Notamacropus eugenii: one gene and its partner. The protein of the gene in region 1 interacts with the protein of each later gene in a pairwise test. Links are inferred from orthologs where the notes say so. Each region holds a gene or a part of one and is shown on either strand. Other genes may lie near its edges.

Region 1 (8,060 bases):
TACACATATACACACAGGTGACTGACAATCGGACTGGAGATGTGATGATTTCAGAGAAGGTGGTGGCTGCAATTGAGCCTTCAGAAGGGAATGTGGAAGATGATTGGAAGGTCAGAGATGCTTCTGTTGCCCAGTAAATTTCAGTGTTGGACCTCTGTGACTTCTAAGGAGAAAGGATGGGGGAACTCTGAAACACGCTGTCATCGAGGATGGGGAAGCAAGACCCAGGAACAAGTTCATGTTGCTCTCCCCTTTGTCTATGCCTCTGTCTCCCCAGTAATCAGGGATGGGAATGAAAGAAATGGAGGGAAGTAGGTGGGGAAAGTGTCAGGAAACCTCTTCCTGTGGAAGGGAGAAGCAGAGATCAAGGCCAAACCTCCAAGAAGCCTAGTCCCCCTTCTTTCCTTTTCTTGTAACTTGTGAATGCATGGTCCCAGTTGGAAGGTCCAGAGCAGTAGGGAGAGGGAGCAGAAGCAGAAATAGGAAGGAAGAGATTAGGACTGGCCACAAAGGGTAGTGAATTCACCATCCTAGGAAGTCTAAAAGCAAAGGCTCAGTGTGAACTTCTCAAGATGATGCCCTGCTCAGGTAGAGAAGCCCCTTTCAGCTCAGAGACCTTGTGGTTCTGTGGTTCTAGGCAACTGATGAGGAGGAGAATGAACCTGCCCAGACACTCCGAAGCAATGAACTGAGCAGCTCCCATGCCGAGGCACAGCCCAAAGTGGCTTTCTGGATAATCAGCCTTCCACGTCGGATGACCCGGACTGAAAGCCGGGCTGGGAGCCGCTGGGTCAGTGAGAAGCGTCATCGGCTTCAGGCAATCCGGGATGGACTTCGGGAGGGAGCCCACGAGGAAGCCCCCTTGCGCCTTCGCCCTGTGCCTCACAGGGCCCATTTTCTCTATTTCCTAAGGCCCCCTCGGCAGCTGTAGGCTCCAGGGTTGGCAAAGAGGCAGGCTGAGGGCAGATGAGAGGTGAGGATGCCTGCATCGGCCCCTCCATCCCCTCGAAAATAAATAAAAGTTCTATCTTCAGTGAAAACAGCATCAAGGCTGTCTGTCATCTCCGGCCAGTCTCGGTCATAGCAAGGCCCTGGGCTCTTTCATCTGTCTCTACTCTCCTGTTCCATCACTGCAACCTGAAGTAGAGAAAGTTCCTAGATAGAAATCAATAGACTTGAGTTCTCGTCTGACCTCCAGTGCTTTGGGCTAGTCACTTCTCAGATTGTCAGTTTCACCATAAGTAAAATTAGCATAAGGAGATTTGTTCAGCCTAGAGGCCGAAGGGCTACCCGAGCCTTTCTTACCTGTCGTCCAGGTCTTCGGAGATCAGCCGGATAAACGTGTTGAGAGAAGAGACTTTCCAGAGTCGAACAAGGGTTAGGCTTTATTCAGGGTCTTAGTTACATGTGCAGGGTGAATTCTTCCTCAGGAGAGAGGAATCCTCCTCCTCCCAAGAGGCAAGGATCGTACAGCAAGAGGATGGGAGCAGAAGAGGGGGGGACCCTCTTCCCTCCAAGGGCCCCTCAGCACGAAGAGCGCCTTCAGGCTTTCCTGTCCCTACTTAAGCTCTCCCGCCGCATAGTTTGCACGTGGATACCATGCATGCTCTCAGCCCCTAGCTAGTCAACAACAGGTGTGCTCAGACCACGGGCCAATCTCAAGGGTGGGATGCTCTCCCCAGCAAGTTTCCCACTGAGAAGAGGTGGAAATGCACGAGATAGCCCGTGTTTCATGCCTCAATTCCCAGCTGTTCCCTGGGGGGCCTCATAAGAACTCTGAGGTTTAGAAGTCCTCACCTTTACCTGCCCGACACTGTCCACGTGAAAACTGAGCTTACACCCCCAACAGAGATTAAAGTTTTCCTCTAGCCAGAAGATACCAGGTGTAGGTGTGGGTTCATCCTTTGTTGCCTAAGAAGACCATGCCATCAGAGAAATGATGACATGATTTACATTTGACTTTGTTTTCAGTGAGGGAGGGCTGTGCAGGTCACCAGCCTCAGTTCTCCTCCAGAGCCTGAATCCAGTGACCAGAGATACTCATCATGATGACTGGAGATATGACCCAGGATGAGGCAATTGGGGCTAAGTGACTTGCCCAAGGTCACACAGTGAGTGTCAAGTGTCTGAGGTGAGATTTGAACTCAGGTCCTCCTGACTCCTGCACTGGTGTTCTATCCACTGCACCACCTAAGTGCCCCTAAAAAAAAGTCTGAGACCAGATTTGAACTCAGGAAGATGTCTTCCAGACTCCAGGCCCAGCACTCTACCCATTGCACCACCTAATGCTCCTTAGACAGTTGATACTCACTAGCTGTGCGATCTTGGGCAAGTCACTTAACCCCAATTGCCTCATCCTGGGTCATCTCCAGTCATCCTGATGAATATCTGGTCACTGGATTCAGATGACTCTAGCGGAGAAGTGAGGCTGGTGACCTGCACAGCCCTCCCTCACTCAAAACAAAGTCAAGTGCAAGTCATGTCATCATTTCTCTGATGGCATGGTCTTCTTTCAACGAAGGATGAACGCACACACCAGGTGTAGGATCTGAGACACTCCCTCTCAGTCTCTCTAGAAAACAAACAAAAAATGACCTCAGGGTAGAGCAGGGTAGACTGGGTCACAGCACCCAGTCAAAACCACAGCTCCAGATTCTCCACAGACTGACTTGTTTACTTTTAGCAAAGTAAATGCATTAGTTCAGAATAAAATAACTTAAGAAAATACAGGAAGGATACAGTCTCCCATAGCTTACTGCACCAGTGGTGAAAGATAACACAGAAGTGAGACCAGGGCACATAAACGGGAACATAAAGAGAACCTATGTGAAAAGGTACATGCCCCAGAAACCCTTGGGGCCAGAGCCATTCTCAACCTATGGTTTTGCAGGGCTGCCTAAGTTCTCTCAGGAGATAATACTTGCTCTGCTAGGTATCTCCCCAGTTGTATGGTTGTATTTCAGCTCTTGCTGGGCAGCTGCTGGCTTTCCTATCTTCAGTGCAGTGATTAGTTAGCCTCTCCTTGACCGGGGCAGGCTGAGCTTTTTTATATATAGCCCAGAGCTAAACGCTGGAAATCACCATACCTAGCTAAGAACAGCCAAATAAAAAGCCAGTCAAAGTGGCCCTTTTCTAAGATCTTCTGTTGTTTAGAATGCTTGTGTCTGGTGTTAATGCCAAGTCTTAGATTCAGGATCAGAAAATTCCTTTCTAACCTAAAGGAACGAAAAAGGTAAGGTCATTTGCTTTCCATCCTCCTGACCTAATAATGCATCTCCTGGGTAGCACAAAACTTCATTTGCCCTACCTACCTGCCAAGGGTATTGGAGGAAGTGTTCTGTAAATCTTACAATGCATTAGAATGTGAGTTATTTCCAACCCCACTTCCTGCCCGTTATAATGGATCGTGCCTAGTGGTCCTTATCATTTGTGACCCTATAGAAATAAAATCTTCAGATCATCTCCAGTGCCCTTGGTTATCCGCTGTCATGTCCCTAGGACAGCCAGCCCTCTAAGAGAGCCTTGTGAAACATTTTGTCCCATTACAGAATAGTTGGTGTCCTACAAGAAGAGTCTTTTACAATTACCAGCATTAAAGGGTATGGCTTGGAACAGCTGTTTGAGGTGCCATAACTGGCTTGGCCACCAGAGGATGCTCAAAGTTAGTTTCCACAGCTCCCACCTGTGTGGGTGCACAAAGTACCTAGCAGTCTCACCTTCCCAGCCTCTTTTAGTGCTTTCTGAGTGGACCATGATGTAGAGATATTCCAATAATACATTTCTTGACGCATGCTCCATCCAACTGGAGTTCAGCTTGGTCCCAAGGAATTCACATTCAGCATATTGACAAAAAAAACCCCATTTATCTTGCAATGTAAAGCTGAAGAATAATACCTGAAGAGATAAAGTTCCTCCCCCACCCCCAACCCTGTTGTTGAACGTATCTGTTCACTTTCTCGGGGTAGGAGGATGATCCTCGGGGACCTAAACCTGGAAGGAGGAAGGGGAAATGTCCCCACAGTGCAGCCTGCCGGCTCCAGCTTCTCTGGCACAAGTGGTACCCAGCCGGCACCCCAGCCAGCACCCCAGCCGGCATCATGTCAGCACCCCAGCCAGCATCCCAGCCGGCACCCCAGCCGGCATCATGTCAGCACCCCAGCCGGCATCAGGTCAGCACCCCAGCCGGCACCCCAGCCAGCACCCCAGCCGGCACCCCAGCCGGCATCATGTCAGCACCCCAGCCGGCACCCCAGCCAGCATCCCAGCCGGCACCCCAGCCGGCATCAGGTCAGCACCCCAGCCGGCATCAGGTCAGCACCCCAGCCAGCATCCCAGCAGACCTTCTGGCTTCTTTAACCCTTTTTGAGGCTGATGCCCGCACCAGGAGGGTTCCCGGCGGGCTCCCCCGGGGCCATCCCCCCAGCCACCCCCAGCTTCTTCACCAGATCTCGTGTGGCCAATGAAACCAGAGGCTGAGGGGAGACGGAGGGTGGGGAATGCTTGTGGAACTGTTGAAACAAAGGCTGGGAAAACTCCCGTTATTCCCAAAGGGTCCCCGGAAATCAGACCCATTGGGTGAGTGGGAGTTAGGGGCTGCTTGTTAAAGGGGCAGGGTGCGAATTTGGGGAGGTGTCGCTTGTGGATGGCTCTGCAGGAAGCTGGGTAGGCCAGAAGGGGGAGCCCCCTTCCCCCTTTGATTCCCCCCTTCTCCACCCCCCACCCCGTACGCCCCAAGGTAAGGCGGGGGTGATTCTCTGTCTTGGGGGGGCCGTGCTAAGCTTAGCACTCAAGTGTCCTGAAGACTCCCTGGAAAGGTTTAGGCCCAGGCAAGATGGGGGTCCTGGCTGGGGGAGGGGGCAGGGGAAGAAGCGGGGATACTGACGGCCCCAAATGGCCCAACAGAAATTCTTTCCCCGCCCTCCTTCGGGCTGGACTGGGAGAGAGGCGAAGGAGGGCCTTTGCGCAGGCGCAAGCCTTGGCCACGACGCATGCGCATGGCTCGCCAACGGTTTGCCGAGCACTCCCTCCTGCGCCTGCGCCTTGCCTCGAGGAGGGGCGCCCGAGGCGCATGCGTACCCACGACTGCGGCTTCGACGGCAGGGGCTCGCTCATTCTGGCGGGAAAGGCTTCCGGCCCAGCTTCCTGCCAGTTGTCGAAGCCCAAGGCGGGCAGCAGGGTGAGGGGCGAGCTCCCCACCGTGACTGAGCCGGCCGAGGAGAGAGGGAGCCCCGAGCCTCTCAGAGAGGGCCCCCAAATCTGTGAGAAAGGGGACCCCGAGCCTGTCAGGGAGGGGCCCCCCAAACCCTGTGAGAAAGGGGACCCTGATACTGTCAGAGAGGGGCCCCCAAATCTATGAGAAAGGGGACCCCAAGTCTGTCAGAGAGGGGCCCCCAAATCTATGAGAAAGGGGACCCCAAGTCTGTCAGAGAGGGCCCCTCAAATTCTGTGAGAAAGGGGACCCTGATACTGTCAGAGAGGGGCCCCCAAATCTGTGAGAAAGGGCCCCTGAGCCTGTCAGAAAAGCCTCTAGTTCTATTATAAAGGGCCCCAAATAGTGCTGGTAAAATCCCCCAGCCTCTTAAGATACCCCCCCCAGATGTAGTCAGAGAGAGGCCCCAAATATCAGACCTTGAATGTTGCTGGAGACCTCAAGGATTCTTTTGGATGGCCCCCCACAACCCTACAGGAGTAGGGAGCCAGAGAGCCCCCCAGCCTCTTAGAAGGAGAGTGTCTCCCAAACCCTGGCAGGTGACCTCCCCTCCCAACCCCTTAAGAAAGAGGCCCCTGAGGTCCCCCCCAATCAATACGTGAAAGAACCCCAGGGCCTTTGAGCTCCCCCCACCCCCAGCGAGGCCTGGCCCAAGTGCTCTGGGGCACTTGGGGCACAAGGGAGAACAGGCTCTGGATAATGATCTGGTTCCACGGAGGCCAGCAGGCCATAATTAAGATGGAAGACTGAGGGGTACAGGCCGGGCTGGTTTCAAGCCTCAGTCCTGCTCTTTGTCCTTCCAGGGAAACAGTGGTGGCATCAGCCCCTTCCCCTCTTGAGGCTCAGGAGCCAGGTTCAATGGATACTGTGGAGAGCCAGGTGCCCAGACCCGCCAGCCTGACTTCAGAAAGTGGGTAACTCGTGTCCTCCCAGGGTGGGACTGGGGGGCGGGGGGGTGGGGGTCAGTGACGGGACCTCAGGATCCCAGAAGGGACTTGTCCCAACAGGTGGAGGGAGGCAGCTGACTCAGCTCGATGGGGTCTGAGGCGGGGTGCGAGGTGGGGATGGTGCAGGGAAGTCAGCTCTGGGATTCGAAGGAAGGAAACAGAAGGAGGAATGAAGCAGCTGACTGTGCTGCTCCCCAAAGAGGACGGTTCTAGAGGAGGCTCTTCTCCAGGTGGTGAGAAGGGCAGAGCACTAAGGCAGAAGTGTGGGTATGGGCGAGGGCCAGGATCCAGAAAGACCCCAGGGAGAAAGGGCCAGGTGAAGCAAAGGCTTAGAGGTGGGAGATGGACCCATGAGGTCAGGGTGGTACCGCTGGAGACTGGGGGTCCAAGCCAGGGGCTCCAAGAATCCTGGCCCTGTTTCTTTTGAACTGTGCTACCTTGGGCTCATACCTTATTTTGGCTGAATCCCAGTTTCCTTCTGAGCCAAACAAAACATTTTTACCCTTAGGTGAGCAAGTTACTTTCTCTGGCATGTAAATTAAGGAGTAACCTCTAATGAGTCTCAGGAGGAAGTGTTTAGGGGATGAACTTGGGAAGTGTGCCAAGGGCAGGGATTTTGTGGGGCCCAGATGCTGACCAGGATCTGTGTCCAGGTCCTATGGAGTCAAAGTGAACTAGTGGTTCCCAGCCTCTCGCCTCCCAGGTTCTCCCACACCACCCTGTGATGGGCAGCATTCTGGGGGATGGGCTCAGAGGTGAAAAGAGCAAAGTCTGTGGTCATATTGCTGGTGGGAGGCCACAGGCTCAAGGAGGAGGGGGTACCCAAAGCCAAAGGGGGGACTTCTAAAAGTGACCCAGGAAAGCAGCCTGTGTGCTGGACAGCTTCAGTAACCCATTCCAACCAGGGAAGACTTAAGGTTGTTTTCAGGGGTTGGAGCCTGGTTTGTAGAGAGAGAGGTGAGTACGCAATTTTATCACCTTCCCAGCTCACTTTGCAGAAGTCCAGTGGAAACAAAACCTCTGAGAGTTAGAAGGCCTGGGCTCTAAGTCCTATCTCTCTACTTGCTGGCTGTGACCTTGCCACTTAACCTCTCAGATTAACCTCACTTAACCACGCAAAGATCTGTTTTCCTTGTAAAATGGCATGTAGGCTAGCTCTAAATGCCTATGGCTGGTCCCCTTTCCAGTTCTAACACTAACACGCTGATCCCCTCAGACCAGGGAGTTTATCTAGGTGTAAGCAGCCCTGGGCCTGCAGAGGTGGTCCAGAGACTGCAGGCCTGAGCTGGGTGGGGCAGGAGGCTCCTGAGTCCACATTAGCCATGCTTCCCAAGCCCCCTGACCCCTGGAGTGGGGGGAGAGGAGCTCAGGGAGCATCTTTGCTGGGTCTCTGCCTGTCAAGTGTCTGAACCAAAGCCGACGTGGGTGCTGCTGGACCAGAGGGGAAGTGCTATCCTGGAAGTGATTGTCACAAACTGAGGGCAACCCTGAAATAGGGGCAACCCTGGGGAGGTTCCACCTCAGAATTTGTAGTAGCAGAGAAGAAAGCAAGGTATAGTGTGACACTTTAGATTTGGAAGAGCAGGTCAAAAATGTAGGTATAGGATAGGTAGCATGTCTTTGCATAAAATTCTGTAGTTGGTCCAGGAGGGCTGTCAGGCTCCTAAGAATGAAGTTCTGAAGATACAAAGGGAAACATTTCTGATAAAAAGGGAAAAAGAATGTCATGTAAATAGACGAAGGTCTTCTAAGAAAGCACCAACCAATTTAGATGTCATAAAGATAGCAGGGAATCACAGATGCCTATGGAATCATGTGATACATCAGGATTAAAGTTCAGAGTGAGCTGAGACTGGCAATCAATGCTAAAGACAGTGGAGATGGGATTTCTATCTAGAGGGAAA
Region 2 (7,938 bases), on another chromosome or scaffold:
CTAGAGGAGAACAGTCATGGAGCCTGCCCACCTGTTACCAGCTCCTTCCTTTCCTTCGGTTCTCCTGCTTCCTGCATCCCCTCCCTTTCTCTCATGGATCCTGGAGCAAGGAAAGTCTAGGGGCCAGGCGGGTGTTCCGTGCCCGTCCCATGGGCCAACTTTGGAATATAGAACTGTCTCCCCCTGAGAGAGATGAGGTTGAGCTCACTCTGCCGGCCAGGGGAAGGCGAGTCCCCTTGCATGATCCCTGAACCCGAGCCCGGAAGGATCGATCTAGAAGTAAGTAGATGATGGGGTTGGCACTACTGTTGACGAAGGCAAAACAGGTAGAGAGAGAGAGGCCCCAGCGCAGTGCCAGAAGCAGTGAGCAGTCTAAAGGCAGAGTCCTCAGGTGGGCAATGTGGAAAAAGGTCTTCAGGATGCTGAAGGGGAGCCAGGAGCAGGTGAAAGTGCCCACGATGGCAAAGATGATCCTGAGGGAGTTCTTCCTACCCCGGCCCAGGTGGGGAGGGTTCCAGAGACGCTGAGAGATGAGGGAGTAGCAGAAAAGGATGATACCCAGGGGGATGAAGAATGTGAGGAAGAGGACCAGGAGGCTGAGCCACTGGAAGATGTCAGCAGGGTCATCTCCACACAGGCTGCCTGGACCCACTGGCATGGGCAGCAGTTTCCTATAGACCAAGGAGGGAACCCCCGACAGAAGAGAGATGGTCCAGATCACGCCACATGTCGTCAGCATGCAGCCCTGGTTCCGGAAAGGCCTAGCATCCAGGAGTTTCACCACGGCTAAGTATCGATCCACACTCATGCCAGCCAAAAGCAGGATACTGGCACATCGAGTCACTGCGATAATAAAACTGCTGACCTTGCACAGGCCCTCTCCAAAGGTCCAATGGCCACCCAGTCCAGCTGCTGTGGCCCAGAATGGTAGAGTGACCACACACATCAGGTCAGCCACAGCCAAATGGAGAACAAAAGTATCCACGAGCCGCTGCGGGCCCTGCTGCCAAGCCAGCAGCCAAACCACAAAGGAGTTTCCCACCAGCCCCACCCCAAAGGCAGCCAGGTAGAGGAGGGGTATAAAGATGTGGCCATAGGGGAGGTCAGGAGTGGGACAGAACATTGGCTCCCCATAGTCCCCAGACCACTCATAGTTTTCATCTCCCTCTCCAGGGCTAGGGCTCCAGGATTCTGTTGTCATGGTGGCCAGCTTCTCTAGATGGACCCTGAGCCTTGGCTTAGATTTGCTAAAATGACATCTCGGGCAGCTTTTTAAGATGTTTGCCTCACTGCTCATTCCCCTGACACCTCCCTTCCTGCTAGCCCAGGTTAAAGAAGGTGGTTGGAGGGAGGGAGAGGGGTGGAGATAGAAGTGGGTGGAGAAAGAGCTTGTAGAAGAGAAAGATAGAGGAGCTAACCCAACCATCTGACTGAGTGCATCTGGTCTGAAGGACCTTGGGATTCGTGAGTACCACAAGGGGAGGGAGGACTGAAGATGGAACAGTGATGAATATTAGGGATATTTCACACCCAGACTCAGAGAAAGGAGATGGGAGGACTTTCTCCACACCTGCAGAAAGACCACAGTCAGTCAATAAACATTTATTAAGCACTTACTATGTGCCAAATCTGTGCTACGTACTGGGGATACTCAGAGATTGAACTCCTTGAGAGTTCAACCTACATCTAACAACAATGTACAAACGAGCTCCATACAGGATAAATTGGAAATAATTCACAGAGGGAAGGCAATAGAAGGAAGGGAGATTGGGAAAGGCTTCCTGTGGGAGGTGGGATTTTAGAAGGAAGCCAGGGAAGACTGGAGGTGGAGATGAGGAGGGAGAGAATTCCAGATATGGGAGTCAGCCAGTGAAAATACCCAGTTTTTTTTTCTTTCTCAGGGTTTTCCCCTTTTGTTCTGATTCTTCTTTCACAACATGACTAATGGGGAAATATGTTTACTATGATTGTACATGTACAGCCTATATCAGATTGCATACAGTCTTGGAGAGGAGGGAAAATTTAGAACTCAAACTTATGTTGAAAACTAAAAATAAATGAATGAATAATGGATGAATAAAATAAAAGAATGAATAAATGAATGAATAAAAGAAAATACCCAGAGTTTGAGATGAAGTATCTTCTTGGAAGGATAGCCAGGAGGCCAGTGTCATTAGGATGGTATATAAGTTAAGACTAGAAAGGTGATAGGAGTGGGTCAGAGAGGAGGGGAGACCTCATTAAGGGCTCTGAATGCCAAACAAAAGTTGATCCCAGAGGTGATAGGCAGCACTGGAGTTTCTTGAGCAGGTGAGGGTGAACTGGACAGACCTATGCAGTGCTAGGAGTTGAGAGTCCTGAGTTCTAAACCTGTTCTTTGCTACCAGCTAGCTTAGTATTGTTAGGTAATTCATTGTACTTCAAAATGCCCAAATGTTCTTGCCTATAAAATGGGTATAAGGACCTCACCTTATCTGGTTGTTCTGAGGGTCAAGTGAAATTATGGATATGAAAACCCAATGAAGAAAATCAAACATCAGGACAGCTAGATGGCACAATAGAGAAAGCACCAGACCTGGAGTCTGGAGGACCTGAGTTCAAATCCAGCTTCAGACACTTACTAGATATGTGACCCTGGACAAGTCACTTAACCCCAAACGCCTCAAAAAAAAAATCAAATGTCCTCTGTTGAAATGTCAGGGAGCTCTTATGTCATTCTTGGATGCTGTTGACAAATTTTTCCCATTTTTGAAGATGAGAAGCCATTTGCGGTCAGGATCCCTCATGACATAAGTCTAAGAGAGGCACAGGGAAGATGGTATAGTGGAGAAAGCGGTGCATTGGGAGGCAGAGGCTTGGGTCGGAATCCTAGTTCTTCTCTATATCACTTGTATGACCTTGGGCAAGTCACTTCTACAGTTTCATTATGTGTAAAATGATGGGGTTGGACTAGGTCAGTGGTTCTTATGTGGTGAACTTTGGAATGATTGCAAAGGATCCATCTCAGTCAGCGACTCAACCTAGCAAATAGCAAATAGACATTCCTGCTGGAATCTCCCTGAATAATGTCTCACATACCAAGGTGCTACTTACTACTTTTCAAATGTAGGCAGATGTTGTTATGATGAATTATCATTCAAATTCATCAAACTAATTAATTAATTAAGATTATTATTTCATCTAGTATATAATAACCATATCAAATATGAGATATGACATTATGTTATAAATATAATACATTATATTATACTTATATTAAATATGAATACAATTTACTATATTATAAATATATTAAAATACATAAAATATTTATATATTATAGATACATTAAATTTAGATATTATACTTACATATTATATACAATATATTTGTATAACATTATTCAAATAAATTCATAAAAGCATGAACAAATTCATAGCAGAACCATAATGCTGGAAGAAACCTCAGAGAACATCTAATCCAACTTCATCATTTTATAGCTGAGGAAAACAAAAGCCCAGAGAGATGAAATGATTTGCACAAGTAAGTTGGGATTTGAACTCAAGTTATCTTAGTCCGAAGCATATGCATTTTCCACTAGACCACACTATATAACTCCTGACTTTTGATCCTCATTTTTTTCCTCAATCAACAGATTCCAATACTATTGGAATCTACTACTATGAGGGAGAGGGGAAGGGAGATAAAATTCTGTCTTGTTTTGCATTAAATATGGTCCTTATATTGGATAAGGTTGAGAACCATTGACCCAGATGATCTATGTGAAGTCTCTTCCAGCTCGAATCCTGTGATTTTAGGACCCTTCTGCCTCACCTTCCATCTCTTACTCAGGAATGGGCTCCCCTGTCCGTTTCTGAGGGGAAGGATTGTTCCTGGAGGGGGCTTGCCTCCGCCCTCCTGGCCCCAGGTCCGTTTGCCACACCCTGACTTGGCCATCAGAGGACCTGGCTTACAATTCTAGCTTTGATGCTTACTTACTACCAGGGGTGTGCAGCTCCAACCAGTTTACAAGAAACAGTTACTCCATTTTTAGATGCAAGCATGGGAAGAGTTACAAATTAGGGCTTGATTTATTGTTTTGTTGATTGTCTAGACAAGAAAGACATAGAGAAAATGTTAATAGTGGAGATGAATAAAAGTGTGTCAAACTTACATTTTTTCTTCCTGGAGAACTGGTCTCACCTTTGACACTTACTACTGTGTGACTTTGGGTAATTCAATGACATGAAAAGGCAATTATGAAATGCCTACTATGCACCAGTTGTGGTTCAATCATTTTTCAGTTGTGCCCAATTCTTTGTGACCCCATTTGGGGCTTTCCTGGTAGAGATAATGGACTGGTTTGCCACTTCCTTCCCTAGCTCATCTTACAGATGAGAAGCTGGGGTAAACAGGGTGAAGTGACTTGCCCAGGGTCACATGCCAGATTTGAACTCAGATCTTTCTGACTACAGGGCTTCCACTCTACCCACTGTGCTACCTAGCTGGCCTCACTATGTACCAGACATTATTTTTTAAAAGTGTGTAAAGGTATAAGTACAAGTAAGACAGTCTCTACCTGCAAGATACTTACATTCTAGTAGAGGAAGATAATATAGATGGGTAAACAAGAACTGGAAAGAGCAGTAGGGGAAGGGCAGAGGTGTGGTGGTAAATGTTTAACACTGAATTTCTGGGAAAAAATATATGTACGACACATGTCTAATGGGCATTATTAACCTTTTCTCTTTTACTTTCTTAAGTCTAGACAATGAACAAAATAATAACTCAAGCCCTGATTTATACTTTGCCAATTTGTGATGTATAAATGCTCACAGCGAATATTTAACAATCAGGTTTTTTGGAGTGGTTTGAGGTGGCTCCAGCACCCGCAACCCCACCCTAAGAGGTGAGATATAACAGGGGGCATGCACCCCAAGTGTATATGCATGATGATCACAGGTCTGGGTAAGATACAAGTGAAAGTCCTCTGATTAGGTCCAGGCTCCCAAATCTGTCACAGGAGAAGGAGGAGGAAGAGAAGACTGGAGAGAAAATGTACATCATGGAGATGGCCAGGGAATCACAACCTCTCTGTATTTTGGTTTTCTTGGCTTTAAAATGGAGGAACTGGATTACTGGACTCCTAAAGTGCCTTTCAGCTTTGGTTCCTCCAACTTCACCTGTGATATGTTTTATGCTCAGAACCACAGACCTTGTTCATCCCTCATGGGTGGACAAGTCTCAATTATGTTAATTACAGGGATGTGAATAATTCAGAATGGTAGATGGTAGTCCATGAGCACCAATTTTAATAGCTGGAATTTATTTAAGGTTTAAGAGGCACTTTACCTAACTATCCCATTTGACCCCAAAACCCTTGCTACTTGGATCACAACCACAGCTGATAGATTTGCAACTTGAATAAATGACGAGGTGCTTATTAAGGGATTGGTGCTGGGGATACATATAAAGCCCCTGCCCTCAAGGAACTTACATTTTTCTTAAAATCAAATTGTATTTTATTTTCATATTCTCATCCTCTTTTGCCCTCCTCACCCCTTTACCCACCTCTAAGTGAGAAAGCAAGAGGCACAAACACCCTGCTACAGGCCTTATAGTCAGATGAGACAAATTTCCACATTGGCCATGTCAAAAAAAATAAATCTGCAGTCTCTGTTTGAAGCCCATCACCTTTCTCTCAGGATGTGGGCATCAGGTTTCATTTTGGGTCCTCTGGATTTGTAGTTGGTCATTGTATCAATTGACATTCCTAAGTTTTTCAAAGTTGCCTGGTTTCTAATATTGCTATTACTGTATAAATGGTTCAGAGGGCTTATATTCTAATGGGAGGGATGAGGCATGGTGGCCAGGGAAGGGAGTTATGGTCTGGGGAAACACAGGGACAGTGAACAGAACACGCAGGCACTCCACCAACGGAACCTTTCCAGGGCAAAAAGCAGAGCTGATATGCTTATAGTTCTCAGAGCCAGAGGTGGAAAGGGAGTAATGGCATGGGAGGGGAGACAGGTAGGTTTGAAAATGGCCAGATTGTTCAGAACTGATTGGCTTTGCCCACCATGAGCAAGGAATCTGTAGATCCAGATTGGAGAGTGAAATGGCAACGGTAGCTCCAGGGCAAAAAATATAGTCTTATATGGGAGGCAGCTAGGTGGCACAGTGGATGGAGTGCCAGGCCTAGAATCAGGAGGACCTGAGTTCAAATCCGGCCTCAGACACTTACTAGTTATGTGACCCTGGGAAAATCACTTAACCCTGTTTGCCTCAGTTTCTTCATCTGTAAAAGGAGCCAGAGAAGGAAATGGCAAACCAGTATCTTTGCAAAGAAAATCCCAAATGGGCACAAAGAGTCAGACTAAAAACAACTGAACAAAAATGTGTGTGCATATATGCATGTGCATATATACTATAGTATTTATTTAATGGGACCATATATATGCATGTCTTGTATACTTAATGGAATTAGATACATATAGTCCCATTCACTAGCAAGACTTCTTCATCAGTCAGTCCATGGAAGTTCTTATCAGGGTTCTTTTCACCATTGTTGCAATATCACTATATAATCATTACGATACAATGTTTTTGTTTCTGACTCTCTCACTGCACATCCGTTTCTGTGATTCTTTTCAGTTGATACTCTATCATATGAATGGTTTGCTCAGGTTAGTGTTAAAAGGAGTCTGCATTCCCAAAGTCCACACCAACTGACAGGGAGGGGAGACAGCCCTATCACATGCTAAGTAGGCAAGGGCAGCCGGCCTGGGCTGTAGAGATCTAAAATGGACATAGGCTAATCTTTGTCTTTTTGATATGTCTTCTACTTGGGGTGACTTACCACAAGGTTAAAGGTGAAACTAAATTAACTGCTGTAAGAATCAGAGCTGTAACTATGCCTAGGGAAGATTCATTTGGGGTTGGAGGGCAGTGGGAATGTGGAAGGAGAGCCTGAATCTTGGTAGTCATGACAGGAGAGGGGGTGGCTGTCCTTCAGAGACTTTGGTTCTTACCATGATGGAAGTTGGTGGGAAGGTCCTGGAAGACTCAGTGAGATTTAGGGATGCTGTTGTAGGAAGGAAGTATCCCCAAGGCTACCATGCCAACTCCCTCGATGGGAAGGGACCCTATGGCTATTCCCTCTTGCTGGCATCCAAACTTATTCATGGTGTTTCACTTCCCAGAAACAAAATCCTACACATATCGATTACATTTAATTTTCTCTAGTGCTTCAGAAGATGACAAATCTTCTCTCTCTCTGATTCATAACTCTACAAATCTGTGTCTCATTGTTACTAATGGCTTATCTCTACATCCTTGAGAACCCACTACCTTCAGCCCCCATTCCCTCGATGTGGAAATGGATATAAAATATTTGCCTGATAGTGTTCCAAAATGAGTCAGAAGCAGAATTGGAACCCAGAGCCCCTATTGCTTCCTCACTGCCAACTTGACTGGGTGTAGTTGCCTGCCTCTCAGATTCAGAGAATGGGCTAAGTTTGATCTGGCACCTAGAGAGCATGAGTGATCCTGAAAGCCAGAAATGAGTAGAGAGTAAGCTGCTAGGGAAATTGGTCTGAGCGGTTAGATGAGTTTCGAAGGGGAAGAAGATGGTTTTAGAATACAGAAACAACTAGATATGACCAACACTGAGTTATGATTCTTGCTGGGGACCTGGTCTCTTGCCTGCTACAAGTTTAGGGTTCAAATTATAGGGTGGGGTTCTCCTAGGGTAGTCAGGGAGACCTATGGGGGGTGTAAGAACTATACTTAGGTATTAAAAAACAAATTTTATTGATAGCCTTTGTTTTTATATTAGTACTTTCAGATATAATGAAAGGTCACCCCACCTCTCACATCAGCCCTCCATTGTAACAAAGAAAAACAGTTAAGCAAAATCAACTATGAATAAAAATCACATATTGTTATATGCATTCCTAG

Evidence for each region.
Region 2: the proteins of KASH5 (region 1) and GPR25 interact in binary tests that used the Homo sapiens proteins (3 or more experiments, as listed by UniProt). The two-hybrid records come from large-scale screens. The link is inferred for Notamacropus eugenii from reciprocal best matches to the Homo sapiens genes KASH5 and GPR25.

Annotation. Positions count from the first base shown.
Region 1 is NC_092876.1:12,584,059-12,592,118, forward strand, and holds the start of KASH5 (protein KASH5), read left to right. Parts: upstream 1-4,950; 5' UTR 4,951-4,988; coding exon 4,989-5,176; exon of another isoform or gene 5,177-5,258; intron 5,259-6,012; coding exon 6,013-6,119; intron 6,120-8,060. Other genes in the region: DKKL1 (dickkopf-like protein 1), read left to right, coding at 18-110, 638-931. UniProt on the Homo sapiens protein: As a component of the LINC (LInker of Nucleoskeleton and Cytoskeleton) complex, involved in the connection between the nuclear lamina and the cytoskeleton.
Region 2 is NC_092873.1:439,827,809-439,835,746, forward strand, and holds the start of GPR25 (probable G-protein coupled receptor 25), read right to left. Parts: upstream 3,168-7,938; 5' UTR 1,427-3,167; coding exon 92-1,426; 3' UTR 1-91. UniProt on the Homo sapiens protein: Orphan receptor.